Canis lupus familiaris: one gene and its partners. The protein of the gene in region 3 interacts with the protein of the main gene of each other region in a pairwise test. Links are inferred from orthologs where the notes say so. Each region holds a gene or a part of one and is shown on either strand. Other genes may lie near its edges.

The links.
Region 1: the proteins of NTAQ1 (region 3) and SFN interact in binary tests that used the Homo sapiens proteins (3 or more experiments, as listed by UniProt). The two-hybrid records come from large-scale screens. The link is inferred for Canis lupus familiaris from reciprocal best matches to the Homo sapiens genes NTAQ1 and SFN.
Region 2: the proteins of NTAQ1 (region 3) and TRIM27 interact in binary tests that used the Homo sapiens proteins (3 or more experiments, as listed by UniProt). The two-hybrid records come from large-scale screens. The link is inferred for Canis lupus familiaris from reciprocal best matches to the Homo sapiens genes NTAQ1 and TRIM27.
Region 4: the proteins of NTAQ1 (region 3) and ferritin heavy chain interact in a two-hybrid assay, tested with the Homo sapiens proteins (2 studies listed by BioGRID and IntAct). The two-hybrid records come from large-scale screens. The link is inferred for Canis lupus familiaris from reciprocal best matches to the Homo sapiens genes NTAQ1 and FTH1.
Region 5: the proteins of NTAQ1 (region 3) and TSC22D1 interact in binary tests that used the Homo sapiens proteins (3 or more experiments, as listed by UniProt). The two-hybrid records come from large-scale screens. The link is inferred for Canis lupus familiaris from reciprocal best matches to the Homo sapiens genes NTAQ1 and TSC22D1.
Region 6: the proteins of NTAQ1 (region 3) and TLE5 interact in binary tests that used the Homo sapiens proteins (3 or more experiments, as listed by UniProt). The two-hybrid records come from large-scale screens. The link is inferred for Canis lupus familiaris from reciprocal best matches to the Homo sapiens genes NTAQ1 and TLE5.
Region 7: the proteins of NTAQ1 (region 3) and PNMA1 interact in binary tests that used the Homo sapiens proteins (3 or more experiments, as listed by UniProt). The two-hybrid records come from large-scale screens. The link is inferred for Canis lupus familiaris from reciprocal best matches to the Homo sapiens genes NTAQ1 and PNMA1.

What each region holds. Positions count from the first base shown.
Region 1 is NC_049223.1:72,665,190-72,668,807, reverse strand, and holds SFN (14-3-3 protein sigma), read left to right. Parts: upstream 1-1,727; 5' UTR 1,728-1,827; coding exon 1,828-2,574; 3' UTR 2,575-3,076; downstream 3,077-3,618. UniProt on the Homo sapiens protein: Adapter protein implicated in the regulation of a large spectrum of both general and specialized signaling pathways. Binds to a large number of partners, usually by recognition of a phosphoserine or phosphothreonine motif.
Region 2 is NC_049256.1:27,401,540-27,405,490, reverse strand, and holds part of TRIM27 (zinc finger protein RFP), read left to right. Parts: intron 1-1,291; coding exon 1,292-1,522; intron 1,523-3,951. UniProt on the Homo sapiens protein: E3 ubiquitin-protein ligase that mediates ubiquitination of various substrates and thereby plays a role in diffent processes including proliferation, innate immunity, apoptosis, immune response or autophagy.
Region 3 is NC_049234.1:22,155,235-22,159,945, forward strand, and holds the start of NTAQ1 (protein N-terminal glutamine amidohydrolase), read left to right. Parts: upstream 1-1,499; 5' UTR 1,500-1,591; coding exon 1,592-1,680; intron 1,681-4,711. UniProt on the Homo sapiens protein: Mediates the side-chain deamidation of N-terminal glutamine residues to glutamate, an important step in N-end rule pathway of protein degradation.
Region 4 is NC_049239.1:55,066,733-55,071,328, forward strand, and holds ferritin heavy chain, read left to right. Parts: upstream 1-1,600; 5' UTR 1,601-1,779; coding exon 1,780-1,893; intron 1,894-3,278; coding exon 3,279-3,425; intron 3,426-3,737; coding exon 3,738-3,863; intron 3,864-3,962; coding exon 3,963-4,127; intron 4,128-4,128; 3' UTR 4,129-4,218; downstream 4,219-4,596. UniProt on the Homo sapiens protein: Stores iron in a soluble, non-toxic, readily available form. Important for iron homeostasis. Has ferroxidase activity. Iron is taken up in the ferrous form and deposited as ferric hydroxides after oxidation. Also plays a role in delivery of iron to cells.
Region 5 is NC_049243.1:6,343,615-6,348,263, forward strand, and holds the start of TSC22D1 (TSC22 domain family protein 1), read left to right. Parts: upstream 1-1,515; 5' UTR 1,516-1,815; coding exon 1,816-4,649. UniProt on the Homo sapiens protein: Transcriptional repressor. Acts on the C-type natriuretic peptide (CNP) promoter. Acts to promote CASP3-mediated apoptosis.
Region 6 is NC_049241.1:56,590,300-56,593,619, forward strand, and holds part of TLE5 (TLE family member 5), read left to right. Parts: intron 1-933; coding exon 934-997; intron 998-2,212; coding exon 2,213-2,257; intron 2,258-2,752; coding exon 2,753-2,815; intron 2,816-3,320. UniProt on the Homo sapiens protein: Transcriptional corepressor. Acts as a dominant repressor towards other family members. Inhibits NF-kappa-B-regulated gene expression. May be required for the initiation and maintenance of the differentiated state.
Region 7 is NC_049229.1:47,276,268-47,280,543, reverse strand, and holds PNMA1 (paraneoplastic antigen Ma1), read left to right. Parts: upstream 1-1,483; 5' UTR 1,484-1,737; coding exon 1,738-2,799; 3' UTR 2,800-3,609; downstream 3,610-4,276.

The DNA of each region.
Region 1 (3,618 bases), on a different chromosome or scaffold from region 3:
TGATCCCATCTGAGCAAAGCCTTAAAGATGTCAAGCCTAAAATACCTTCTGCTTCCTTGGAAAACCTGTAGTATCTGCCCAGGCATGCTCCTACTTTTCCTTCAAAAAGGCAGATCTCATCTTTGGGCCTCAGAGTTCTGGGCTAAGCCTCCCTCCAGGAGGGGAAGGTGGGGATTCAGGCACGGAGAGGAACCGGGGAGGGACAGGCCTGTGAAATGGCCCTGGCTCAGAGATTAGGCTGGCTGGATCCCAGTGAGGGGAGCCCCACCCCTGAGCCCCATCTGAGCCTTGGCTAGGGGTGGGGCAGATAAGCAGGAACCCACCCTCACAGGCACAGGGCCAACACCTCAGGTGAAACTCCTGGCTGAATGAGAACAGCATCCCAGCAAATAGGGACAGAAGGTTGGCAAGAGAGAAGTCTCCCATCTCTGAGTCCTCTACCAGGGGCCAGAGGAGGGGGGGGCCATAATCAAAGGGAAGGGACAGGGAAATTTCTGAGAGGCAGACTGGGGGAGGCAGCACTCACCTGGTACTGCTACCCTATAAAACAAAATGGTATGTGTCACCGCCACCTTCTTTATCTTGGTCCTGTCTCTCTCTCCAGGTGCTAGCGTCCCCCTTGGGGAACCAAATTGGGCTGAGCACCCAAGTGGCCTGCTTCCCAGCCTTTGACAGAAGGCAGGCTGAGTCAGGCAGGAGAGCTGGGCCCCCACCCTGTGTGAGCCCCACTGATACATGATGGCAGGCGGCTTGGAGGGGGTAGGTGACCTGGCGTGGAGAGCCAGAGGGTAGGTCCTCAAACAAGTGGTAACAGGCCACCAACTTGAAAGGGAAAATTGTGCTGTGATGGGGAAGGTGTCCAACAAACCTACTGGATGACTAATTACAAAGGCTGGGCTGGAGCGTCAGGGGCCGCTCATTAAATACCTCATTAAGTGGCACCCTGAACGATGCCACCTGTGCATTCTGGGACCTCAGAGGGAACCCTGAGGGGGGGTGATGACCAAGGGAGAGAACCATTTCAGGTAGACTCCGGAAGAAGCCTGGATTTCACTTCTAAATACAGTCTGGAGCTTACAAGTCAGAGGCCTTGACGAGAGAAGCCAAAGGAAGTAGGATACAGGGGATTTATTAGCTGTGTGACCTTGAGCAAATCTCATCCCTCTCTGAGCCTTAGCATTCCCACCTCTAAAGTGGGAGTAAAAGTCATAGTCTGGCCCATCTCACAGAGACATAGTAAGGATTCAATCCAATCGTGGCTGTGAAGGTGCTTGGGAAACTACAGCCCTACCTAAACATAATTATCTCACCCAAACCAAGGTGGAAAATGTACCTGGTAGGATTAAGAACCCCATCCTCCTGGGTGCACCTGTCTTCATGCGCTCTAGCCAGGCTGAAGCGGCCACTTGGTTGAAGCCATCCCTGGCCCCTGGAAGAACACCATGAAGGAGGATCTGATTTGAGAAACTGGGGCATCTGGGTGGGCACTCATGGAATCAAAGCACCGAACAAGAGGGGGCAGCCTGGAGCTTGGAAAGGTGTCCTGTGCAGGTGGGGCCGACGCCCGGCGGAGTTCTCCCGCAGACTGAGCCCCGATGACTCACCCTACATCCCAGCCTTTTACCTTTAAGGAAGAGCCGGAAAGGGTGTGGGGAGAAGACCAGAGGGAGGCAGGTCCCGGGCCCCAGCCCCGCCCTCGGTCCCTCCCCACCCCTCTCTGGGGCCAGACCTTCCAGCCAAAAGGCAGGCAGAGAGCAGGAGAGGCACAGAATCCGGCATCGGTTTCAAGGCAGCCAGTTAGCCCGCCGCCTGTCTGTCACCAGAGCCATGGAGAGAGCCAGTCTGATCCAGAAGGCCAAGTTGGCAGAACAGGCTGAGCGCTACGAGGACATGGCAGCCTTCATGAAGAGCGCCGTGGAAAAGGGTGAGGAGCTGTCCTGCGAAGAGCGAAACCTGCTCTCGGTGGCCTACAAGAACGTGGTGGGGGGCCAGAGGGCTGCCTGGAGGGTCCTGTCCAGTATCGAGCAGAAAGGCAATGAGGAGAGCTCGGAAGAGAAGGGCCCGGAGGTGCGAGAGTACCGGGAGAAGGTGGAGACCGAGCTCCGGGGCGTGTGTGACACGGTGCTGGGCCTGCTGGACAGCCACCTCATCAAGGAGGCCGGGGATGCCGAAAGTCGAGTCTTCTACCTGAAGATGAAGGGCGACTACTACCGCTACCTGGCCGAGGTGGCCACTGGTGACGACAAGAAGCGCATCATTGACTCAGCCCGGTCCGCCTACCAGGAGGCCATGGACATCAGCAAGAAGGAGATGCCACCCACCAACCCCATCCGCCTGGGCCTGGCCCTGAACTTTTCTGTCTTCCACTACGAGATCGCCAACAGCCCCGAGGAGGCCATCTCACTGGCCAAGACCACCTTCGACGAGGCCATGGCTGACCTGCACACCCTCAGCGAGGACTCCTACAAAGACAGCACCCTCATCATGCAGCTGCTGAGAGACAACCTGACGCTGTGGACCGCCGACAACGCCGGGGAAGAGGGGGGCGAGGCTCCCGAGGAACCCCAGAGCTGAGCCGCCCACCGCGCCCTCCCCGCCGCGCCCTGCCCTCTCCAGCACCCCGCCCGCCCGTGGCAGAGAGGACTAGTGTGGGGTGCGAGGCCCGACCCTCCTACCCCAATGCTCTGCCTCCTGCTCACGAGAGCTCCGAGGAGAGGAAGCAGCAGAGCTGAGGCCGGCTAGGGCCGGGGGACTCGCTCTTCCTGCCGCTGTCGGGGCCCGCCCACCCCTGCTCTCCGCACCCCTCCCCGAAACCCCACCGCCAACCGGGCCACTTCCTCCCCCTCCTGCCTCCCTCCTGCCCCCCGTTGCCTCTGAATCTTAGGAATTGAGGAGTGTCCCACCCTTGTGGCTGAGAGCTGGACTGTATGGCAGAGCCTGGAGATGAGTGTGTGTGTGTGAAAGAGCGAGAGCGAGTGAGAGCACGAGTGAGAGCGCGCAAGACCCGGATGAAAGGGAAAGCATGTCTGCTGGGTGTGACCCTGTTTCCTCTCAATAAAGCTCCCCTGTGACACTCCTCCTGTCTCTTCCAGTTATTGGCGAAGCGATGGGACAAGGACTGGCTTATGATTTAGAGACCTTGACTTCTGATTTAGGGCCTTGACCTCTCACGGGGCTGGCTCAGGGACCCACAGGCAAGACTCTGGAGCCAGTGACCCCAGGTGAGAGGCTGGGGGGCAGGAGGTCCAGCTCTCCATCAGGGTGGCCCCCAGCAAGCTGGTCTGGTCCCGGACGGTCGGGGGAGCGCAAAGGCGGCCCTAAGGCTGCTCTAGGGCTGCAGGGCGGGGGGCTGAAGAGTCCAGATCTGAGGGGACAGGAAAGCCTCTCAGGTGTGAGGTCCGAGCGACAAGGACAGGTTGTAGTGAGCCGCAGCGAGCACCCCGGCCTTGAAAGCGAGTTAGAGGCCCATCCAGTGCTCAGATCTGAGAGGAGGGGAGCACAATCTGGGTAGAGGCTTGCGCCGCCATTAAAAGCCCGTATCTGAGAGGGGATGCCCCCGCCCCCAGCGCTCCGACTCGGGGACGGAAAGAAAGGGTCCGGCGAGGAGGAGCCGCGGGC
Region 2 (3,951 bases), on a different chromosome or scaffold from region 3:
GGAGGGCAGAGCTGCTGAAATGTCCTGCAATGCAAGGGATAGTTCCCTGCCAGGCAGAGTCCCCCCACCAGCGTGCCAGGAGCAGCCCCTTCCAGAAGCGCTGGGTCTTTTTCAGCTTTACTTTTCTGTTTCTGAGGTTGCACTGTGTCATTTATGCCTTTGAAAGACTTTAGGTAAGGAGAGGTGAGACCTTACCAAAAGGATGCGAAATAGGTTTGTGTTCACTCCTCAGTGTGTTGCACAGAGAGTGCTTAGGAAGGTGGTGAGAAGAGTGGGTCATGGGAAAGGTTCTCAGGAAGAGTGGAGCTCAGGACAGGTGTCAACAAACATCTGTAAAGGGCCACATAGTCAGGATTTTTGACTCCGTGGGCCACTTAGTCTATGTCACAACTACTCAACTCTGTCGTGACAGCTGAAGGCAGCATAATATAATATGTGAATGATGGGTGTGGCTGGGCCCCAGGAAAACTTAATTCCCCAGGAGTAAACAAAGGGAGCTTGCTGACACTTTGTTTAGCAGAGAGCCTCAGGGTTTTGGCAGTGGGAGGTAGATAGAGAAGGAAGGGTAGACTAGTTTTGGCAAACATCTGTTCCAGAAGGGCACCACACCCATAGCCAATGAGGGTAGGTGATGAACAGCCCTGGTGGCCAGAAAGGGGGTGAGGGCCGCACGGGAAGGGCCTTGGTGACGTGGTTGCAGTCATGATGCGAGGATTGAGTGTCCTAGTCCACCCCACATGGCATATATCTGAACCCAGTCACTTCCCTTTCACGGCTCCTAGTTGCAGGAAAGTCTTGCCCCACCCTGGCCTTCCAGGCAAGGTGTGTTCTCTCTTACCTCTTCTGGCTTCTCCCTCAAAACTTAGGTGCTTTGCCAGACACCATCGTTCACCATCTCTCCCGTCGTTTCTTCTGCCAGGAAAGCGTGTCTACCCTTTGACCACATGGTGAACCCCTGTTTCTCCAACCACACTGTGTGTGTTACATTGCCTCTGTGAAGGCTGTACCAGCTTCTCCCACTGCAGGCCATCCTGTCCTCACTACCTGTGGTTGCATGTGTCATGTGAACCGGGCTCTCCTGTGACTATATTCCTTATTTCTGGGGTAACTCACTTCTCAGCCATTGTGTCTAGTCGGTAAAGCCTGAGACCAGGAGTGAATGAACAGGATGCTTGTTTTAGCATGCCGGGACAAGATGATGAGGTCTCAGGGTAGGTAGTCAGGGACAGACATGAAGGGCTCTAGAAGGGAGCCTTCTGTCCTTCAGTACCCTCCCCTGTCATCTACGCAGAGCCTGACCCAGATGGAGAGGGAGAAGATTGTCTGGGAGTTTGAGCAGCTCTATCACTCCTTGAAGGAACATGAGTATCGCCTCCTGGCCCGCCTTGAGGAGCTAGACTTGGCCATCTACAACAGCATCAACGGTGCCATCACCCAGTTCTCCTGCAACATCTCCCACTTGAGTAGCCTGATTGCCCAGCTAGAAGAGAAGCAGCAGCAGCCCACCAGGGAGCTCCTGCAGGTAAGGCATGGAGGTGTGGAGTGTCCCACCAACGTGGCTCCTGCCAAAAAGTCTCCCTTCCCTCTTTGCTAGGCAGTATGGAGCACCTCCCCCTCCCCGCCCCGGTCAACTCTAGGAGTAACAAGCCCTAGCTCAGCTCTCTGGGCTTGTCAGAGAGAAAACATGCATAACAGAAGTTCCAGTTGACACAACTTGGATCGGTCAGTTGCATTGTCTCACGGGAAGGGCAAGAGGAAGACCTAATGCCTAGGCCTGTCCTGTACCCACACGTGGTCTGATCACACTCTTGACCTCTCTGGGCCTCAGTGACCTGATCTACTCCTGGTGTAATGGGAGGTTCAGCCTACATGCCATTTAAAGATTTGAGTAAAGATACTCAGTGAAATGTCCTGTAATTTTAACATATATGTGTACATTAGCACAGCCACAAAACTGAGCACTGGAGCAGGTGGTTGGCCCAAGCGGTCCCTGTGATTTAAGCTGGGTGTAGTTACAAAGCTGCATTGACCTAACCTGGCAAGGCCACAGGAAATGTGCTGTTGTTCATTGAGTGCATATGAATTGTCTTTTCTGGGTCCGGCAGTATTCTGGGCACTGGGATTAAGTGGTGAAAAGCTGTCCTGAAATGTATATTCTAATGTCAGAGTCAGGTACTAAAGAGAACAGCAGGGATCCCTAGGTGGCGCAGCGGTTTGGCGCCTGCCTTCGGCCTAGGGCGCGATCCTGGAGACCCGGGATCGAATCCCACGTCGGGCTCCCGGTGCATGGAGCCTGCTTCTCCCTCTGCCTGTGTCTCTGCCTCTCTCTCTCTCTCTGTGACTATCATAAATAAATAAAAAAAAAAAATAAAAAAAAAAAAAATAAAGAGAACAGTGGGTGTAATGGGTGTTCATAAATGCCATTAAAAGGGATGATGGCATAGGGCACAGGTCAGCAAACCACTCCACCACCTGTTTTTGTATGTCCTTCAGGCTAAGTGGTTTTTACAGTTTGGGAGGGGTTTTTTTTTGTTTGTTTTTTAATAGGAAGAGTGGAGGAAGAGGGGAAGAGAGAATTTTTTTTAAAGATGTTATTTATTCATTCATTCACTCACGAGAGTGAGAGAGAGAGGGAGAAGCAGGTGCATCGCAGGGAGCCCGATGCGGGACTCGATTGCCAGACTGGGATCACACCTTGAGCCGAAGGCTGAGGCTCAACTGCTGAGCCACCCAGGTGTCCTGGGAAGAGAGAACCTTAAGTAGGCTTTATACTCAGTGCAGAAACTATTGTGGGACTTAGTCTCATGACCCGGAGATCATGACCTGAGCCAAAATCAAGAGTCAGACACTTCACCAACTTAGCCACCCAAGGCCCCCTGGTTTTTACAGTTTTAAACGTTTGGAGAAAATCTGAAGATTTTATTTCATGGTATATGAAATTCTATAAAACTCAAACTTTGTTGTCTGCATTTTATTGGCACTTAGCCACTTGGATTCCTGTACATACTGTGTGCATTGTTACTTTCCCACTGCCACAGCAGAGCAGAGTTAAAAACCCAAAATATGTACTATTTGGCTTTTCAGAAAAAGTTTGTTGAGTCCTGCTTTAGACTAATAAGAAGGCCTAGCCTTGAGCCTTAATGACCACCAGTATTTAATTGCCAGGGAGGAAAGGAGGAGTTTGCAAAGTGAACACTTGATCAGAGAAGCAGAAAGTGACCAGGAAGGAGGAGTGGACAGCAGAGTCTCATGCAGTTAAGGGCTGACACGCATTTGGTTTAAAGCCACGGGCATTGCTAATGCCCTCAGAGAGAAGTGCCACAGTAAACACTTAACACTTCCCTAAGGAACCATCCTAGGGACAGTGGTGACTGGCAGGGTGTGTGACCACTGTAGGAATGGGTGTCTGGGTTAAGGGGTAAGACCATAAGGAGAGGTGGGGATTGTGGGACTTTGTGGGAAGGGATGCTTAAAGAAACAAACTAAACATATTGTCAGAGATCATGTGGGAGGAGAGTCTGTTGTAAGGATCTGGGTGAGGAAAGTCATTGAAGCTGTAAAATTAATGAACTTATCACTAATGTCTGTGTCAGAAAAGATGGAAGGGAAAGGGGACTAAGCACATGTATAGGATGTAGTTTTGGAAGATCTTTGGGAAGAGAGGAGGGTGGGGGGGAGGTGGGGATGCAGGCAGGTTGAGGTTTGGTAGCAAAAACATGGTAGCTTTTATTGTCTTGACGTGGGAGAGCAGGGTCATCTGTGGCCGCAGAACAGGAATCAGGAAAGTCACTCACTTTAAAGAATAAGGGGAAGTTTTGAAAATACTCTTTTAGAGTATGGGAAGACCAGGTGATTTGTGAGCTACTGGAGGAACACTTGGTCGGTGAACGTCGCCCCAGTCAGCCTTGCTGTGATGTTGTCTTCCATCCTGCCTTCTGAGACCATCACTGC
Region 3 (4,711 bases):
GACTGCTCAGCGTGTGACCCTGTTGGCCACAGGCAACTGTGCACAGGCCATTGAAGGGTTTGCCAAAGAAGTATGGGCAAGTGGCTGCCTGCAGGCTTCACAGGACTCTGGTTTCTGGGTTAAGAGGGCTGTAGGAAGGTTATTGCCAAATTTGGGCTGTAAGGTCACAGAGGAACTGGGTTTGAACCTGTGGCTGGGGCAGACCCCACAGGATGTACTCAGGATCACACTCCCAACTCTTGTACTGCTCTAGAAACTGCAAGGAGCTTCTTCCTCCAGCATACTTTACTCAGAAGGCTTAACTTGGTGCCCGCTTTGAAGGAGAAATGCTCAAAGTAATTGCTATTTATCACAGAGCCTATGTCGAAGTGTGTTCAGAGCTGAGAGGCAATGCCTTGATAACTGACACAACGACATATGCTCAAAGTGTTTAGGATTTACATATGGGCTTTCGAACTCCTGACATTGGGAAAGCCTGACTGCAGATAGCCTATGAACAGACTAAGAATTTAAGTTTTTATCATGGGAAGTACCCTGATGAGTTATGCATGCTCATTACTAGTCTAAGACAATTCAGAAGGCTATTAAGTATAAAGTGAGAGTCCTTCATATCATTCATTCATCAAAGATAAATACCGTTTTAATAATTTGGGGTCTTTCCTTCCAGGCTGCTGGCAAATAAAAATATGATTAACACGAAATGAATGCCATGAGGACTCCTTTTAAACTTTTAAAAACTTTACCAAGAATCACTATATTTTTCTGGGTCAACGTACACAATTCTAATAAAAACTTGTCACAGCGCGGTGAGCTTCGGGGTGGCTGGCCCCGGACGTATTTGGAATTCGGTCCCCCCTGCCCCTGCGCTCCCGCGGCCTCTAGGAAAAAACTGCTAAAGCTCCGTTTTTTACATACAAGGTTCTCTCATTTGGCGTCTCTTCTGGTTCCTCCACGGCTGTTGGCAACCCCAGACCCGGGCTGGAAGAGGGCCTCCGACGCCTCCGGGAGATCCCCGAAGCGCCATTTAGGGTTGGGCGGTTGACCAACCCCACGCTCTGCCCCCACTCCTCCGAGCGACCTGCGGGTGACCTCTGCCCTCTCCACGCTGACCTCAGTCTCGCGGGGCACGCCCGGCCCCGCCCCAGCCGCCCAGCTCCGCCCCAGGCCCCGCCCCCAGGAATTACGTCATCCTCCTCGCCCCAGGCCCCGCCCACTGGAGACCCACGCCGTTCGCCGCCCTGGATCCGCCCACTTGGCCCGGCCTCCACGCTCCCGGAACCCGCTCGGCGCTTCCCTCCAGGCCCCGCCCACCGGAACCGCCGGAGCCCGCGCGGCCCCCGGCTCCGTCCACCCGGAACTGGCACCGCCCTCCCTGGCGGCGCGCGCCCGGAAGCTGCGTCGCTCGCTCCACCCAGGCTCCGCCCGCCGGGTCCCTGGCTCCACCGCCCGGGAGGGAACTGCACCCCCGCCTCAGGCTCCGCCCGGGAGGCCCGCGCCGCGCGCCGAACGCCGGCTCCTCCCCCGAAGCCTGCCCGCGGGGCTGGTGCAGTCGCTTCGCCTCAGGCCGTGCCCGGGCCCCAGCCAGCCCGCCATGGAGGGGGATGTCCCCGCCGCCGCCGCCGCCCGCTACCAGCCGGCCAGCCCCCCGCGGGACGCCTGCGTCTACAACAGCTGCTACTGGTGAGGGGGCGCGGGCGCAGCCCCCGGCATCCCGGCTCCCGCGGTCTCGGCGTCGCGGCCGGGCCCCGCCTCTTCCCGGCCCCTCCCTGGGGGCGCTCTGGGTCTCGTCCGGCGAGGTTCCCGCGTGGGGGCTGAGGGAGCGGGAATGGCAGCCCTCGGCCCTTGAGAGGAGCGCAGGCACGGGGCGGGGGCGGATTCCCAGGGGGTGGGCTCGGTGGTGCATTACTAATGCCCGAAGCCTTTCGCTTGGACTTTTGTCGGCAGATCTCAGTGCCTGGGGGCCAGGAAAGGGGAGTTGGAGGCGGAGGGTGGAGCGCAGAGAACCGTTGCGGATTATCCTGCTGAAGCCTTTGTGGTTTCCCCACTGATGTGAAAGGTCATTTTAATTTTAGGAAGAGAATGGGAGAGCGGAGATTTTGCAGTAACTTTCCAAGGTCATCGGCTAATAGCAGCCAGGAATCCAATTCAGGCCTTCTTGTACCAGAAACCATGAGCTTAACCACCATGTTGTCCTGATCGTGCCCATTGTATTTACATAGCACTTGCTGTATGCCACTTGTTTGTTTGTTTTTTTTAAGATCTTATTTATTCGGGGGGGGGGGCAGGCTCCCTGCGGGCCCGATGTGGGACTCGATGGATGGATCCCAGAACTCCCGGCAACAACCACTGAGCCACCCAGGTGCCCCCCCAAACACTTTTTTTTTTTTAATTTTTTAAAAAATTTTATTTATTTATGATAGTCACAGAGAGAGAGAGAGGCAGAGACACAGGCAGAGGGAGAAGCAGGCTCCATGCACCGGGACCCCGACGTGGGACTCAATCCCGGGTCTCCAGGATCCGCCCCGGGCCAAAGGCAGGCGCCAAACCGCTGCGCCACCCAGGGATCCCTTTTTTTTTTTTTTTTTAAAGATTTATTTATTTATTCATGATAGACATAGAGAGAGAGGCAGAGACATAGGCAGAGGGAGAAGCAGGCTCCATGCAGGGAGCCCGACGTGGGGCTTGATCCCGGAACTTCGGGATCGCGCCCTGGGCCAAAGGCAGGCACTAAACCGCTGAGCCACCCAGGGATCCCCCCAAACACTGTTTTGATTGGCTTATGTAAACCAATTCATTTGAGCGGGGGTAGGTGTTATTGTTACCCCCGTTTTAAAGATGAGAACATCGAAGCACAGAGGGTGCAACTAATTTGCATAAGGCCATCCTGTCTAGTAAGTGAAGAAATGGGGATTTACCTGCAGGGTTTGGCTCTGGAGTCCACACACTATCCCCTTGGCCTAGGCCACCTGTGTGACCAAATCACCACTCCTACCTCTGTCTTTTTCGCTCGTACACTTGAGTAATTAATGACTTCTTCCCCAACTTTCAGTTGCAAAAGAAACCTTAGGCCCATCTAAAACTACCTTTTCCTCCTTTAGCTGGCGGTCAAACCATGTCACCAATTTACATCTGTTCCGCTCTGACTGCATGTCAGGGCTAGTGTCAAGTGTTTCCATCCATGGCTCCGAGATAGGTTCTGTCATTTACCTCATTTTATTAACGAAAAGAATGAGCCACAGACAAGCCATGTCCAAGGTCACACGTGTAGCAAGAGGCAGGGCTGAAATTGGAACTGTAGTACAGGAGTCCATGATTCTTAAAGACTGTACTTTAGTACTGCCTTACCTCTCACCTAAATCCTATTAGTTTTTGTCCCTAGCACCCATTCATTATTTTACTTGTTCATCTGATGTTTATTAGGCATGTGGACTGTGTGATATTACAATTGTGGGCACTTGGGAGACAGCAGAAAATAGATTCCCTAGTTAAGATCTTATGGTTCTTAATATTTTGGTTCAGGGAAAGCAGGCAAAACCACGTAAAACCATGTTTGGTGTTAAGTGCTATGAAAAAATAAAGGTAAGGGATGGTGACTCACTTTTATAATGGATATTTAGGGAAGGCGTTGTTGGTAAAGTGGTATTTGAGCAGAGATCTGAAGAAAAAAAAACCGGTGGGAGCTTTGTGGATATTGGAGGAAAATCATCCCAGGCAGGGGAGCAGTGGTGCAAAGGCTCTGAGAACGAAGTGTGCAGGAGTATTCTAGGAACAAGGTGGCTCGTACAGCGAGAGTGCAGTGGTCTGCTGGAAGAATGGTCGGAATGGATATCTCTTCAATAGATGGCCTCCCTTAATTAAGTTCCTTCAGCTGTGGGCTGAGCCCTCCTCGGCTGTCAGGGGCCTGTTCCAGCCCTTCCTTATAGGACTCTGCCCAGATCTGTTTCCTATTCCCTCAGGTCCTAAACCTTAACTGGCTTCACACTGCTAAAAGTCGTTCTAAATTCAAATGAGCCATAGAATCACTTGGGAGCTTGTAAAGTGTGCAGATCTTAGGGTTCTACTCCAGAGAGTCTTGGTGTGTAAACAGTACAGTGGAGGAGTCTTACACTCGTCCATTGATCACGTTTTCAGGAATATAGGCATAAACAGTAAAGTCTGTCTCCTGAGCATATTCAGAGATCTGGTCACTTGTGTTTCTGCAATCTTATTTTGAGCCTGCCTTCTATGCCCTAACCCAGGGTTTCTCACCCATGGCTTTATTGACATGTGGAACGTGCTAATGTTGTGGAGGGCTGTTCTGTGCATTGTAGGCTATGTAGCAGCATCCCTGGCCTCCACTCACTAGAAGCCTGTAGCACCCTGCCCCAATTTGTGACGAGCAAAAACGTCACCAGATAGTGCCAAATGTTCCCTGGGGGGCAAAATTGCCTCAGTTAAGAACCACTGTTCTATCTTGTCTTAATCTATCAGATAGTGTACCTTATTATGTTTGCTCCTGCAGGTTTTTATAACTTGGAATAAGTGCCTCCTCTCTGTGTCTTTTAGCTTCTGTCAGATGTTATTTATCTGTTCAGACCCAGCTGAGTGATAATAGTGGTAACCAGTATTTGTGTGGCACTAGGTGGTTTGCAGAACATGTCTGATTCTCTTTGTACTCTTCAGATGTTGGTTGAGCTCCTCCTGTGTGCCAGGGATCCTTACCTTCATGCTT
Region 4 (4,596 bases), on a different chromosome or scaffold from region 3:
GGGAGAAGCAGGCTCCATGCAGGGAGCCCGACGTGGGACTCGATCCAGGGTCTCCAGGATCACACCCTGGGCTCAAGGTAGCACTAAACTTCTGAGCCACCCTTTCCTGACCTTGCCCGTGTAGCACCCTTGTAGCTTTCCAAGGCCAACACATTTTCTTGAGGTACCATGGACAGGCCATACATTTCCACATCTTTACACCTTTGCGTGTGCTGTTCTCTCCACTTGGAATTCTCTTCCACTCTACCTTCCTTCTAGCTTTTTCTTCAGACTTAGCTCAACTGTCACTTTCCTAGGGAAGCCTTCCCTGGCCTTCTATCCCAGACTGGATAAGGCACTCCTCGTCTACACTCTCCCACAGGCTTCTGCTTATTTTATTTTATTTTATTTTTGTAGTTTTAGACCTAAAAAAAATTTTTTTTTCCTGAAGGTAAAATGTTCATTCCGAAACGAAAACAGTAGAGACCCAAGAAAGAGATCACCAGAATTCCGTCAGCAACGAATTTTAACATTTTAGAGCCTGCCTTCTTTTTGTTGAGGTTGCGAAGTTCAGCTTAAGGTTTCATGTTTGTGAGCGTCCAAAGGGCCTCGGCGAGGTCTCCCAGCCGTGCGGAAGGACCTGGTGGCGAACAGTGGAGCTGGAAGCCGGCCGACAGGGCGGGCGCCTGGAAGGAAGGGACTCGGCGGCCCTGCCCTGCCCTGCCCGGTCCCGTGGACACTGTGCCCACCGGCCGCTCCGCAGGGGCAGCCCCAGGAGGTGGCTCCCCGGGAGATCTCCTCAGCTTGAGCCGGCTGTGGCCTGACCCGGGTGCGCCAAGGCAGCCGTTCCAAGATGGCTCCGTCTCCAGATCCCCAGTGGCTTCTCCTCCCTTTTCTAACCCGTCCCCGGATCTTCTCAGAAGCCCCGGGGGCTCGTCCCTCACGGCTCCCCCTCGAAGGCGCCCGCTCACCGCATCTCCCCGGGAACCACGGCCCGCCCAGCCTCTGTCGGGGAAGCTGCACCGGGAGCCATGTTGGCGAGGGTCGGGGACGGCCCCCGGGACCCCAGCCCGTCCGCGTGTCGCTCCCGGCCGGACCCTGAGGAAGGGAGAGCGAGCCCCTCCCGCCCCACCTCTAACTGACGCAACCTCCTAGGGCTCCCACTGCCACTTTCCAGGTGACGCCCGAGGAGATCCCCCCGGGTGTGGTAACTGCTGCCCCGCCGCCCGGACTTTTAACCTGCCCCCGGGGCAGGATGTCTCGGGGAGCCCGCCCGGACGGCTCAGGGGACACGTGCCGGCGGCTCCCAGCCCCGGGCGCCGGGGCTCCGCGCCCGACCCCGACCGCACTTCTTCCCCGCCCCCCCCCATCGCGGGAGCCGGGACGCCGAGGACACCCGCCCCGCCCCGCCCCGCGCGCGGCCACACGCCCGCCGCCTCAGCCCGCGCGGGGCCGCCCCTCCCCCACCGCCCCCAGGGCGGGGTCGCGCGCCCGCCGGAAGAGGCGGGGCTCCGCGCGCGGGCGGGCGTCTTGATTGGCTGGAGTGGGCGTGACGCCCGATCCCGCTATAAGAGCGGGGCCTCGGCGGTCTGCGCCAGTCTCCGCCGAGAGTCGCCGCGGCTTCCTGCTTCAACAGTGCTTGGACGGAACCCGGCGCTCGTCTCCCCTCCCCGGGCCCGCCGCTCAGAGCCAGCCCTCGGCCACCTCCACGCAGCGCTCTCGGACCGCCCCGAGGCCTCCGCCGCCGCCGCCCCAGCGCCGCGCAGCCGCCGCCGCCGCCGCCTCTCCTCAGCCTCCGCCATGACGACCGCGTCCCCCTCGCAGGTGCGCCAGAACTACCACCAGGACTCCGAGGCCGCCATCAACCGCCAGATCAACCTGGAGCTCTACGCGTCTTACGTCTACTTGTCCATGGTGAGCGCCGCTCGGCTCCGGGCTCCGGGCGGCGGGGCGGGGCGGGGGTGTGGCTGACGCTTGGGCCCTCCCGCCCCTGCTCGCCCTGCTGGAAAATGGACGCTGCTCGAGGCCTCTCAGGACGTGCGCAGAAACTCTGGCCGGCTCGGCCTTTCTGACGGCCCCCTGGGAGGGCTCCCTCTTAGTCAAGGGCCGCCTCTGCGCGCCGCTTCGTATTTAGAGAGAGCCTGGTTTCAAGGAATCCCCGACTTGCGGCAGCTGCAACCGGCACAATCCTGCAGTTAGGAAAGCGGGGTGTGCGTTTCCATCCTGTTCTCCGTGTCGATCACGTGGCCCCGAGGCTGTCCTTTTGCTTGGGTGACGGGGGCGAAGTGGTCCAGCCCCCGTCCTCCCTGCGACTGGCGGAGCCTGCTGGGTAATGGTGTCGAATAGCAACCGTTGGGGGCGGGGGTTGGTGCTCAGTGGCTTATCTCCCGGGGGCCGACCACTCTGGAGCAGCCATCGCTACCCGCTCTGTTCTGCTTATCGCCCAGTCCCACTTGAAGCAGGGAAATCTCCCCTTTTGCGCACACGGTTGTCTTAGTCATCCGTCCTCTTGCCCGGGCATTTAGTACTTTATCCTTTTGTGGCTGAACCCTTGGTTTTAGAATAAACTACACCAACAGTCACTGGGCAAGGAAACTTTCCGTGCTGATCGATGGAATCCATTTTCCAAAATCCTGGTTTTAGGCGGTGTGGTGGGCGTTTTCCTTAGGATTGCAAAAGAAAAAAAAAAAGAAAAAGGATTGCCTTACGATTGTGCAAATTATCTAAGAATAGACCTGTTCCAGATGAATTTGAAAATAGGCCTGGATTTCCGCGACTGCCATTCCATTTCAGGAACACCTGGATTCAGCGAGTGTCTAAAAACGGAATCAAGTTTTCTGTTTTCTGCTGGCAGTTTCTTTGTACAGCTTAGCGTTGCCAGCAGTTGTCACCTTGCCTAATGGGTTAATCTTAGAGATCCGTCAGTATGCTGTAAGCTGGCAAGCTCATGTTTTAACATGGGTTTAATCAGGGAGTTAGGGAGTACAGGGTAAATACTCCCACACCCTCTCCAATCAAATGCGACACTGGCCAGAAGAAGTTTGCTCTCATATAGGGCTTTAAGAATTTATCTGCTGGGGGCAATTCCCTATGATATTCTAAAGGTTCCTTGCAGTAAACTTTAAATGTCCAGGACTGCGTTTCATTTTTGTGTTTTAGAGTACAGACTAGTGTTGTGTTCTGTCCAAGAGCACAGCCTGTCCGCGGTCTTCAGTGCAGACTCCTTTCTTGCTGGACTTTGAGGAAGAAAGGCTAGGCTTGGCAATTCCTAACAGAACATGTTCGTGTTCTCTTTTCAGTCTTATTACTTTGATCGCGATGATGTGGCTTTGAAGAACTTTGCCAAATATTTTCTCCACCAATCTCATGAGGAGAGGGAACATGCTGAGAAACTGATGAAGCTGCAGAACCAACGAGGTGGTCGAATCTTCCTTCAGGATATTAAGGTGAACAAAACATCTTAGATCCTGTGTCTCATCTATCCGGCAAGTCCTTGGGTGTCAGAAATCCCTCAAGCTAGCAGTTGCTCTTATAAAATGAAGTACTTTTGGCTTCTGTGTTTTTTTAAGCCTATCTTCTAAGTTGAAGGAGGTGAACGGTAATGGGCACAAGGCTGTTAAGTTGGAAACCATTGTGGGAGAAACTGGGATGTCCCTCTTGCCAAAGCACAACGATTGCATGTTAGGTGTTTGCTGACTTGGGCAATAATAGGTAGAGGCTGTACGTGCATTGACCTGACCTCCTCTCCTCTCGTTCAGAAACCAGACCGTGACGATTGGGAGAATGGGCTGAATGCAATGGAGTGTGCATTACACTTGGAAAAGAGCGTGAATCAGTCACTACTGGAACTGCACAAACTGGCCACTGATAAAAATGACCCCCACGTGAGTGTTGGCAGTCTGGGAGAGAATGGAGGGAGTCATTTCCCTCTTTAGGGGTTGGGAAAGTGTACCGTTAACATTCTTCCCCATTCTGTCTTCTAGTTGTGTGACTTCATTGAGACTCATTACCTGAACGAGCAGGTGAAATCCATCAAAGAATTGGGTGACCATGTAACCAACCTGCGCAAGATGGGGGCTCCCGAATCTGGCATGGCAGAGTATCTCTTTGACAAGCACACCCTGGGAAACAGTGATAATGAGAGCTAAGCCTTAGGCTGTCTTCCCATAGCCGCAGGGTGACTTCCCTGGTCACCGAGGCAGTGCATGCATGTTGGGGTTACCTTTACCTTTTCTATAAGTTGTACCGAAACATCTACTTCTTTCGTTTGTATCATTCCTTCAAATAAAGTAATTTGGTACCCAGCTGTTGTTTCTTGAGTTCTTGGGATGGGCTAGAAATGTATTTAGTAGGTCATCTTTGTGAAATCTGCTGAGGTGTTGTAGTTCAGTCACAGTAACCAAAATGACATGCCTAGGGAGGGATTTGTGTTTTATTAAAGTCCTTAGTTAGGAAATGATAATTGAGGCTGGGTGTGCTGAATTCAGACAGGACTTAAGGACTCCTGATTCTGAATTGAAGGTTTTGAATTACATGTTTCCAGTGGTTGATTCCAGCTTTTTACAATTTTTATGTACAAAAAGTATCTTAAGGGCTTAAGTAGACCTGACACTATGG
Region 5 (4,649 bases), on a different chromosome or scaffold from region 3:
TCATTACCCATTCCGCGGGCGGGCAAGGGCGGGGGGGGGGGCGGACACCCACCCCCTCCCCGGGGCGCGCACTCCCGGGCCCCGCCCCGCCCCCTCCCCCTCCCCTGCCGCGCGCCCGCCCGCGCCCGCTCCCGCGCCCGCGCACGCGCACCGGCCGCGAGCGAGAACAGAGCGGACACACCTAACCTGCGCGCGCGCGCCCCGCGCCCCGCCCCCACTCGGGCCGAGCCGCGCAGCCCGACCCGGATCCGCTCCCCCGCCCGAAGCGCCCCTCCCCTCCCTTCCCCTCCCCTCCCCTCTCTCCGCGGCCTCGGCGCCTCCGCCAGCCTTCGGCAATTTCCGGCGCTCGGCGAGGCCCGAGGCCCCGCCGCCGCCTCCTCCGCCGGACCCGGCTTTCTGTCTGCGGCGCCGGGGCGCATGCGCAGACGCCATCTTCCTCCGTCTCCTTCGCCTGCCCCCTCCCCCTCCCCCCTGCCGCCGCCGCCGCCTCCTCCTCCTCTCGCCGGCGGTCGCCCCTCCTCCTCCTCGTCCTCCTCCTCCTCCTGCGCTCGGGCGCTGGTCCCTCCTCTCCCGCTGCCGCGAGAGACTGGGGGACGCGGCGGAGCCGGAGGAGAGCACTAGTAACAACCACCACGGCCCCCTCCCCGCCCGCCCGCCCTCCGCACCCACCCACTCGCCGACACCGGCCAACCCCACCTCCCGTTCCTTTGAACGGCGTCGGCTGCAGTCGCTTGCACCAGCCCGTCTGGCCCCCAGCGCCGCCGAGGAAGGAGCCGCCCGCGAGGACGAGGACGAGGACGGGGACGAGGACGAGGAGCCGAGCGGCTCGCAGCCCGCCGCCGCCCCCCGGGGAGGCCCGGGCGCCGGCCCCTTCCTCCCCGAGGACGCGTGCCGAGCCGAGGCGCCTGCCCCGAGGGAGGAAAATGCTCGGGCTCCATGGCTGCCAGTGATGGAGCGGTCCCTGCGCTCCCGCCGCCGCCGCCGCCGCGCCCCGGCCGTGCTCCGCGAGGACCCGGCGTCCCTGCGCGCCCGCCCGCGCCCCGTTGCTGGGCTCACCGTACCGGGCGCCCCGCCGCCCCGCTCCGAGCCTCGCCGCCCCGGCCCCGGCCGCGGCCAGCGTCTGCTCACGGAACAGCCGCCGCGAGCCCAGGGGGTTTGAAAGGGTCCGCGGGGCGCGGGCGGGGAGGGCCGAGCGGGGCCGGCGGGGCCGGGAGGGGACAGGCTTGAGCGACCCTGAGCTCGGGGCTCGGGGCTCGGGGGCGGCGAGGGGACGGCGGCCCCCGCTCCGCGCCGCCTCGGCCGGTGCACGGCGCCCGGGAGGCTCTTGCAGCGGCCGCCGCCGCAGGGGCTGCGGTGCCCCCGAGTCGGCCGGAGAAGGTGGGCATTTCTCGGCTTCCCCACCTCCTCCTCCCCCTCGTCTCCCCCCCACCCCACCCCACCCCACCCCACCCCCACCCTCCCCTGCCCCCTCCCTCCTGCCCCGCACCCCACGTGAAGGCGGACTAGAGAGGGGGGTGTGAGACTAGAGGGGAAAGTGAATGGCGGAGGACTGAAGGGGTCCCCCCCGCTCCCCCACCTCTCGGGCCGCCCCGTTCACCCTCGTTCATCCTCCCTTCCCGAAGCTCGCCCTCGAAGGCAGGAGCGGCCGGCGCCTTCTGCTGAGGAGGAGGAGGAGGAGGAGGAGGAGGAGGACCCGGACCCGCGCCGGGCGGAGCGTCAGGTCCCGTTTTCTTCCCCGGCGTCTCGAATACAAAGATTACGGTGCAGAAGAAGGAAATTGCACTCGCCTCCTCCGCCCCCCCGGCCCCCGACACAATGCACCAGCCGCCCGAGTCCACCGCCGCGGCGGCCGCGGCCGCTGCAGACATTAGCGCTAGGAAGATGGCGCACCCGGCGATGTTCCCTCGAAGGGGCAGCGGCGGCGGCGGCGGCGGCGGCGGCGGCGGCGCCTCTGCGCTCAGCGCGGCAGGTACCGGCGTCGGTAGTAGTGTCACATCTTCCGAGGATTTTCCGCCTCCGTCGCTGCTCCAGCCGCCTCCCCCCGCCGCATCCTCCACGTCGGGGCCGCAGCCTCCGCCTCCACAAAGCCTGAACCTCCTCTCGCAGGCTCAGCTGCAGGCACAGCCCCTCGCGCCGGGCGGGACTCAGATGAAAAAGAAAAGTGGCTTCCAGATAACCAGCGTCACCCCGGCTCAGATCTCCGCCAGCATCAGCTCCAACAACAGCATCGCCGAGGACACGGAGAGCTACGACGACCTGGACGAGTCCCACACGGAGGATCTGTCTTCCTCCGAGATCCTCGATGTGTCACTTTCCAGGGCGACCGACTTGGGGGAGCCTGAGCGCAGCTCCTCAGAAGAGACTCTGAATAACTTCCAGGAAGCCGAGACACCTGGGGCAGTGTCTCCCAACCAGCCCCACCTCCCGCAGCCTCATCTGCCCCACCTTCCCCCCCAGAACGTTGTGATCAATGGGAACGCTCATCCTCACCACCTCCATCACCACCATCACATTCATCACGGGCACCACCTCCACCACGGGCACCACCATCCATCCCATGCCGGCGTGGCCAGTCCACCCATTCCCGGAGGGCCACCCTCCAGCCCGGGATCCAGAAAACTCTCTGCCCCTGGAAGCGCCGACAGCGTTGCACCAGCTGCACCGACTTCTGCTGTATCATCGGGAGGCTCACCTGCATCCGTAATGACTAATATCCGAGCTCCAAGTACTACCGGCAGTATAGGTATAAGTTCTGTTACTGGCGCTACTACGGTGAATAATGTTAACATCACTGCTGTGGGTACTTTTAATCCTAGCGTGACAAGCAGCATGCTTAGTAATGCCAGTATAAATGCGAGCAATATCCCTAGTGCTGCTAGTGCGAGTGTCGGGCCTGGAGTTAGCAGCGGTGTGAATGTGAATATCTTGAGTGGCATGGGCAATGGTTCTATTTCTTCCTCCGCTGTTGTTAACAGCGCCCCTAATGCAGCTGCAGGGATGACTGTGGGATCAGTTTCCAGTCAGCAGCAGCCACCGACAGTTAACACGTCGAGGTTCAGAGTTGTGAAGTTAGATTCTAGTTCTGAACCTTTTAAGAAAGGTAGATGGACTTGCACCGAGTTCTATGAGAAAGAAAACGCCGCACCTGCTGCAGAAGGTGTGGCGATGAATAAAGTGGTGGAAACTGTAAAACAAAACCCAGAAGTGACTTCTGAGAGGGAGAGCACTAGTGGGAGTTCAGTGAGCAGTAGTGTCAGCACACTGAGTCACTACACAGAGAGTGTGGGAAGTGGAGAGATGGGAGCCCCTACTGTGGTGGTGCAGCAGCAGCAGCAGCAGCAGCCAACTCTTCAAGGTATGGCTCTTCAACAGATGGATTTCAGTAGCTCTGGTCCTCAGAGTATTTCAGCAGTCAGTATACCACAGAGTATTTCTCAGTCACAGATCACACAAGTACAGTTGCAGTCGCAAGAACTGAGCTATCAAAAGCCAGGTCTTCAGCCTGTCCCTCTGCAAGCCACTCTCAGTACCGCGACGGGTATCCAGCCATCACCTGTGAATGTGGTTGGTGTAACTTCAGCTTTAGGTCAGCAGCCTTCCATTTCCAGTTTGGCTCAACCCCAACTGCCATATTCTCAGCCGGCTCCTCCAGTGCAAGCTCCCCTTCCAGGGGCACCACCCCAACAGTTACAGTATGGACAACAGCAACCGACTGTATCTGCACAGATGGTCCCAGGCCATGGTAAACCGGTGACTCAGAATCCTACTTCAGAGTATGTGCAGCAGCAGCCGCCGCCGCCGATGCTCCAAACAGCGGTGTCCTCGGGACAGCCCAGTGCTGCGAGCGTGGGAGCAGGATCGACCGTGATTCCTACGGCCCAGCCACAGAGCATCCAGCTGCCAGTGCAGCCCACCGCAATCCAAGCACAACCTGCAGGGGCCTCTGGCCAGCCTGTTGGCCAGGCTCAGACGGCAGGATCTGTGGTACCTACTGGCGGTCAAATCGCAAATATTGGTCAACAGGCAAACATAGCTACTGCGGTGCAGCAGCCCTCTACCCAAGTCACACCTTCAGTTATTCAGCAAGGTGCTCCTCCGTCTTCACAGATAGTTTCACCTGCTCAAACCGCGATTATTCATCAGGGAGTTCAAACTAGTGCTTCGAGCCTTCCTCAACAATTGGTCCTTGCACCCCAAAGTACCTTGTTAACTGTGCCTCCCCAGCCGCAAGGAGTAGAATCAGTAGCTCAAGTTTCGCAGCAGTTGCCTGCAGTTAGTCCTTTGCCCTCTGCTAGTAGTATTTCTGTTACAAATCAGGTTAGTTCAGCTGGTCCTTCTGGAATGCCTTCTGCCCCAACAAACTTGGTTCCACCACAGAATATAGCACAAACCCCTGCCACTCAAAATGGTAATTTGGTTCAGAGTGTTAGTCAACCTCCCTTGATAGCAACTAATATAAATCTGCCTCTGGCACAACAGATCCCACTAAGTTCTACTCAGTTCTCTGCACAATCATTAGCTCAGGCAATTGGAAGCCAAATTGAAGATGCCAGGCGCCCAGCGGAACCCTCCTTAGTTGGCTTACCTCAGACTATCAGTGGTGACAGTGGGGGAATGTCAGCAGTTTCAGATGGGAGTAGCAGCAGCCT
Region 6 (3,320 bases), on a different chromosome or scaffold from region 3:
GATGCCAGGCCCCTGGGATGACTGACCAGAAGGTCAAGCATGTATCAGGTGCTTCCTGTATACCAGGCGCTGTTCTAGAAGCTTCTCTGGTCTTCATCCACTTCCTTTTCTCAGCACCCCCACCCTGGGAGGTCAGTCCCTACAGATGCAGAGACAAGGCCCAGAGAGGTAGAGGGGTTTGCCTAGAGCCACACAGCAGCGAGGTGGCGGGCCTGAACCCTGAAGCCACCGCATGTAGCTGGGGTCTGCGCCCGCGGCTTTCTAGGTCTCTCTCTGCCCTCCCCCTTGGGGCGGGGGGGGTGCTTTGGGAGGTGCCCAGAGCCCGTCCCTGCGGCGGGGGCCTGAGAGAGGCCAGCGGCTCGCCATCTGTTACCCAACAGTGGACTCTTCCCCGCTGGTGAAATCAAGGCCAGGCCCCCTCGGATACCCCTCGGTGAGCTGGGCCCAGGGCCCCGCCAGCCCGCCCTCCGCCCTCTCCAGCCGCTGTGGCTTCTGGTCCTTCGTCCCCGGCTGGACAGTTTTCCCCAGTGGCTCCGACTGTGGCCTCTGAAGCCAGCTTTCCGGGGCTGTGTGACCTTGAGCGAGTTACTCAACCTCTCTGGGCATCCGTTGCATCATCTGTGAAATGAGGATGACGCTCGTATCACTGATCTCATCAAGCGTCTGGAGTGCAGAGAAGTTTCTCGGAGTCCCTGGCTGACCCGGCGTGTTTGCTGTTTGCTCGACTCTGCTTATCTGTGTTATTCCCCGTTACTCTCTCCGCCACCAGAGCCACAAGGCTGATTGCAGGATCCCCGGTTTACACTTAGAGAGCCTGAGGGCACACACGTCCCCTCCCCTCCCCGCGCCATCTTCACAGAGGGGGACACGGCCTTCTCCCTGCACAACAGGGGGCTCAGTCCACCCCCACCCCCCCATCTTGTTCTTTTCCAGCCTGAAGCTCGAATGTGACAAGCTGGCCAGCGAGAAGTCCGAGATGCAGCGTCATTATGTGATGGTAAGTAAGCTGGCCCTGGGCGGCGGGCAGGGCAGGGGGGCGCGGGGTGACCCTGGACCCTCCTCCACCCGCCCTGGCAGCTGCCTGCACCCGGCCACCTCCTTGGGATGGACGAGGATCGGGGTCCGCGCTCCATTCAGCCGGCCCCAGGGCCTGGCCCAGGCCGCCTCGCTGGCCTGGCCGCCCGCCCAGCCAGTGGCCCAGGTGCCAAACCACCGGGTTGCAGCCCGGGCCTGCCAGGTCCCCCGGCTGTCCTTGGCAGCAGAGGAGGCCGCTGCCGTGGAAGCCAAAGCCAGGAACTGACTGGGGGAGCGGCCGGATCCCTCCCTGCCCCCACAGGCCGGGCAGTTAACCCCTCCCTGCCTGAGCTTCAGCAGGAGGGGGGGGGCAGCCGCCGCGGGCAGGAAGCTGACATCCTGGGAGGGGGAGGGAAGGGGTGACACTACATTCTTTGCCTGACATTTGAGATCCTGCCTGGATCCATCCCCGCCAGGTGGCAGTCCCTACATCTAAAAGCCCCCCTCCTTGGCCCAGCCCAGAGCCCAGCTCTCCCAGGCTTGGCTGGGCACTGACCCTCCTGGCCCTGGAGGGATAGGGAGGGGGCGAGAGAGAGCTATGGGGGACTGGGGGATTCCCCAGGGGGGGCTCACTGCCCCAAGCGGGGGCACTGCAGCTCGGGTCTTGAAGAATGAGTAGGAGCTTGCTGGACAGAGAAGAAGAAACCACGGAAAGTCCTGGGGATGAACTTGGCTGCCCCTGCCCCACCCCCAGGGATGATGGGGAGCCATGAGGGGGTTTAGAGGAGGGGAGGAGGCAGGGTCAGATCTGGGGCGTGAGGGGGGTGCTGCTGACCCCAGAGCCAGACCCAGCAGGCTTTGTTTATCCTGGTTATTTATACCCAGGAAGGCCAACTTCCCTGGAGTCTGGGGCCACCCGCAGACAAGACACATAAAGATAAAAGATTAGGCGCCCTGGAATGTATGTGTGCTGGAGAGGGGGCTGGATAATTACTCCAGAAGCCAGGGGAGCCCGGCCAGGCTGGGGCCAGGCTGGGGCCAGGCTGGGGCCCTGACGCTTCCCCAGCTCCCCGCAAGTGGCCCCATGAGGGGCCAAGACCCTGCTCCCGCATGCGCGCCCCACCTGCCCTCGTCCTCCCACACTGTGCGTCCCATCCTTGGCCCACCCCATTTCTCTCTCTGTCTCCCCACCACGCAGTACTACGAGATGTCCTACGGCTTGAACATCGAGATGCACAAGCAGGTAGGCCACCACCCCAGGCAGGTGGGCCCGCCCCTTGGTGACCCCCAGGTCTACCCCCCTATCCTGTTACCTTCCACACCCCTCTCCCTGTTCTTTCTCCGGCCTCCCCCAAACTACCACCCCCACCCGGCTGACTCCTGTGGGAGGGGGTGACACGCCAGCACACTGAGAACCCCCAGACTGCCCCTCGCCCTCCGGCCCCCTGAGGTCGGCCAATATCAGGGATGTCCTAAGAACTGTGCTGTGGGCCACCCTCTCCCCCATGCTGGGTGGCATCTTCCCAGGGCCACCCAGTCCCCGAGCCTGGACTCCCGGTTGGCCCCAGAGCCCACCTTTGCCTCCGACTGGGTGCCCATAGGCTTGAGGTGCTGATGCGACCCGGGGCCCAGTTGGGCTCCTCTCAGCCGGAACCCCGCCAGCTACTGGGGCTGGTCTGCACCTGCCCCTGCCGCCTCCCCGCCGCCTCCCCTGCACTGAAGCCTCTGTGTGTTGCAGGCCGAGATCGTCAAGAGGCTGAATGGGATTTGTGCCCAGGTCCTACCCTACCTTTCCCAAGAGGTGAGTGGCACCCCCGGGGCTGAAGGGAGGAGGAGGTGGTTGGGCCATGAACTTGCCCGGGCCTCCCCCCACCCCGACCCCCGCCCACGGCCCTCTGGGGCAGCAGCTGCTGGGTGCCCAGGGCACACGCCTCCCCTCTCTGGACCTCCCAGACACAGAAGATCCGCAGATCGGAGGAACCCCAGGGGCACAGGGCAGTACAGGGAGGGGCCTCACCCTGCTGTGGAATTCCCAGCCTGAGTGAGTCATTTCGTGGGTGAAGACGTCAGATATGCCAAAGGCTGCACCAAGGATCTTTTTTTTCCCTTTCTTGCTTCTGCCTTTTTCCCTTCTGAGATCTGTGTGCCAGGCCCCTGGGGGCCGCCTCAGGCCAGAAACCAGGGGCCGCATGTTCGGGGAGGGCACTTGCACACACACGTGCACACAGAGGCAGGCGTGCACGGGCTCAACACAGATAGATGAGGCTCGCACGCGCACCTGCAGACACAGGTCTGCACGCACATGA
Region 7 (4,276 bases), on a different chromosome or scaffold from region 3:
GAGGATTCTCTTTTGTCAGCTCTTTCTCGATACCAGGACAGGAAAAATAACACACTAGCGTTTTGCCTGGCTACGGATTATTGACTAGATACGGGTTTTTTTTTTTTTTTTTTACAAAACTTTAGACAAGAAAAAGTCTCAACTCAGTGTCTCACACAAAAATATGAACACGGCACGCTTCCAACGTGTTAGTTTGAGGGGATGTATGGAGGGTGCAGAATGCAATCAGGTGGGACAGGGAAGCTGCGGTGCTAAAGACCGTATTTTCCTACCCAGCGGAAGACCAGTGACGGAGGCATTTGCAGCCTTAACTCCACTCCAGAATTATATTATCTTTTAAACAAGGTGCTTTGTTAAAAAAAAAAAAAAAAATTTTTTTTAAGGGCACCTGGGTGGCTCAGTGTTTGACCTCCTGCCTTTGGCTCAGGTCAGGATCCTGGGGTCCTGGGATAGAGCCCCGCATGGGGCTCCCTGCAGGGAACCTGCTTCTCCCTCCGCCTCTGTCTCTGCCCACCCCTCATGAATAAATAAAATCTTTTTTAAAAAATGAAATAAAGGGCAGCCCGGGTGGCTCAGCGGTTTGGCGCCTGCCTTCGGCCCAGGGTGTGCTCCTCGAGTGCCAGGATTGAGTCCCGCGTCGGGCTCCCTGCGTGGAGCCTGCTTCTCCCTCTGCCTGTGTCACTGCCTCTCTTTCTGTGTCTCTCACGAATAAATAAAATCTTTTTTAAGAAATGAAATAAAAACTGGAAAATGTGAAAAAGGAAATGCGCCACCAAAGAGAGCAGTGTCCGGAGCGTCAGGCCAGCGCCTCTGCAACCGCCCCACCCCGCCCCCAGCCCCAACCCCGGGAGCGCGCGGAGCGGGCGGGAGTCCGGGCCGCCGTTGCCATGGCTACGCTCGGGGGCGGGGCGCGGAGGAAGCGGCTCCGCAGCCGGCCCCGCCCCGCACTGCGGCAGTAACGCCTCCGCGGGCTGCGGTGGGACCCCGGCGGCCCCGCTGCGCCACACCGCCGCAGCCCGCCGCAGCCTGCGCGCCGCCGCCGCCTGTGGCCCCGCTTCCCCGTCCTTCGGCGCCTCCGCCGCCCGTGTGCTCGGTCCTCAGCCGCCCTCACCGCCCGGAGCCATCCCTGCGTCTGCAAAGAAGCCGCTGGCGGGCTGGCGTGGCAGCCACCGCCGCGACCTCAGAACAGGCTCTGCCTCCGGGGACCGCACAGCCCTCGTCTGCAGAGCAGCCGCTCCTCGGCCGACTGGAGGCCGGGCTCCGGCCGCGGACGCCGGGATCGCCTCCGAGGGGAGCCCCGAGTGCCGGCGCCCGGCTGCCGGGAGGAGGCGGCCACGCCCCGCGACCACACCCGGGCGCCTCCGGCCCCGCGGCGCAGCCCTCGCCAGCCGCGCTCGCTGCCCGCCTCCTGCGCTGCGACGGGACGCGACCCCCGGCTGCAGGTGGGGGACCCGGGCCGCGGGCCCCGACTGAGGACGCCGGTGGCGGCGGACGCGTGAGGCGACTGCCCGAGCCTCCCGGGGCTTGGCTCCGGGGACCAGCCGGCGGACTGCCTTTGGGGGCCGCGAAGGAAGAGGGCAGGACTCTGGTGTCGTTTGTTAATTGTGATTGCGTCAAGCTTGCCTCCCTCGCGCCTACGGGGGTGGGGGGGTGTCTGCTGCCGCGCTGAGCCCTAGAGCGCAGGGAGCCACAGCCTAATCCGTCTTTGTAGAATCGGGGCCCTCGCTAGTTGGGGAAATGGCGATGACGCTGTTGGAAGACTGGTGCCGGGGGATGGATGTGAACTCCCAGAGAGCCCTGCTGGTCTGGGGGATCCCAGTGAACTGTGATGAGGCTGAAATCGAGGAGACCCTCCAGGCTGCGATGCCCCAGGTGCCCTATCGAGTGCTTGGGAGGATGTTTTGGAGGGAAGAGAATGCGAAAGCAGCCTTGTTAGAGCTCACTGGCGCTGTCGATTACGCCGCGATCCCCAGGGAGATGCCGGGTAAAGGAGGTGTCTGGAAAGTGGTCTTTAAACCCCCGACTTCCGATGCTGAATTTTTAGAAAGGTTGCACCTCTTCCTAGCGAGAGAGGGGTGGACCGTGCAAGATGTTGCCCGCGTCCTTGGGTTTCAGAACCCCACTCCGGCCCCGGGTCCAGATATGCCAGCAGAGATGCTAAACTATATTTTAGATAACGTTATTCAGCCTCTTGTTGAGTCCATATGGTACAAGAAGTTGACGCTGTTCTCGGGGAGGGACATCCCGGGGCCTGGGGAGGAGACCTTTGATCCCTGGCTGGAACACACTAATGAGGTCATAGAGGAGTGGCAGGTGTCTGATGTAGAAAAGAGGCGGCGGTTGATGGAGAGTCTTCGGGGCCCCGCCGCTGATGTCATCCGCATCCTCAAGACGAACAACCCTGCGATAACCACTGCCGAATGCCTGAAGGCGCTTGAGCAGGTGTTTGGGAGCGTCGAGAGCTCTAGGGATGCGCAGGTCAGATTTCTGAACACTTACCAGAACCCGGGAGAAAAGTTATCTGCGTATGTCATTCGTCTGGAGCCTCTTCTGCAGAAGGTGGTGGAGAAGGGGGCCATAGATAAAGATAACGTGAACCAGGCCCGCCTGGAGCAGGTCATTGCCGGGGCCAACCACAGCGGGGCCATCCGGAGGCAGCTGTGGCTGACCGGGGCCGCGGAAGGGCCTGCCCCTAACCTCTTCCAGTTGCTGGTGCAGATCCGCGAGGAGGAGGCCAAGGAGGAGGAGGAGGAGGCGGAGGCCGCCCTCCTGCAGTTAGGCTTGGAGGGGCACTTCTGAGGCCCAGGAAACGGCGACAGTGCACATCTAGATCGCAGCCGCTTACCTTGTCTCCGTGCTCTTACAGATGTGTCCCTAGTGGTAAAGACTTCCGCCATGTGCTGTTTTGGGGGTGGGGGTAGGGAGTCAGGCCTGAGTATTCATGTAACATTAGTACAATCGCGCAAATGAGCACCCTGAGCTGCTACAAGTGAGTCGTACTCGCTGCAATGCCAGGTAAAGACTTGTACACAAGTGCTCAGTGCCAGCTGTCATTGTGGCAATCATCCGTTGTAAAAACCATGTGAATCCCTGACACTTCTCATTGAGATAATTGTGAAATTGCATGTTCAGATGTTTTAGCGTGGGGCCTGGCAAACACAGGAAGTGTTCGGTAAAAATATGAGCCGTTGTTACTAATATTGTGAATAGTTTTTGTGTTTACAGTAAATTGTTCCTAAGTTTTTTCCCTAATTTATATTAATGGAAAGAAATGTGACTCATACTATTTATTCAGCCTTACAAAGCAAATTGTTTTATTTTTCATCTCGAAACATCTGGATCACTTTAATTGAAAAGTATTCTGAGACTATGGAATGGGATGTTAGAAAAATACTGCAATTCTAGAATTGTGTGAATCAATTTTTCTGTGTACAAGACACAGGGAGTGTCTTGTTGCATGGGGAGATTAATAAGAACCAGTTACAGTATCTATTCCCCCATTTCAAATCCTTGTCATTGAATGGTAGTTCTTGTTCATGCTGATTCTAAGTGTTCTAAATTTGAAGTTGTCAAAATACATGTATATGAATAAAAGTATTTAAAAAATTCTATTGTCTTTTTTTTCTGACACATATATAAAATTTCAGTGTAATTAAGCTCTATATTTATTCTCTTAGGAAGATTTCCTGGTGTCACTTAAAAAAAATATAACTTCAGTTACTGTATCTTTAACCTTATAGCATACTATTTGAGTTTGAATTACAGAACCTTTCAATGTATTCAATTTTTGCATGTTTTCTACAAGGCAAATATTAGAAGGCTGAACAGACCTAAGTCAATATTAACTTACTATAAAAAGTTAGGAAATCCTGAAATGGGGCTCAGGATGTTATCTAGTAATGCTTTTTCTCCCCTTTCAAATCCCTTTTCAGGGATCCCTGGGTGGCGCAGCGGTTTGGCGCCTGCCTTTGGCCCAGGGCGGGATCCTGGAGACCCGGGATCGAATCCCACGTCGGGCTCCTGGTGCATGGAGCCTGCTTCTCCCTCTGCCTGTGTCTCTGCCTCTCTCTATCTCTCTCTCTGTGACTATCATAAAAAAAATAAAAACCTGGATTATTTTTTAAAAAATCCCTTTTCAGCTAAAAATGTTTGTTTTACTACAGGAATAATTTCTCATACCTGTTTAAAATGAATGTTTCTGATTTATAGCAGCCATTTTATTTTTTTTTTGTCAAAATTCATTTTTATTAATAGAAAATACTTATTCCAGTTTCAG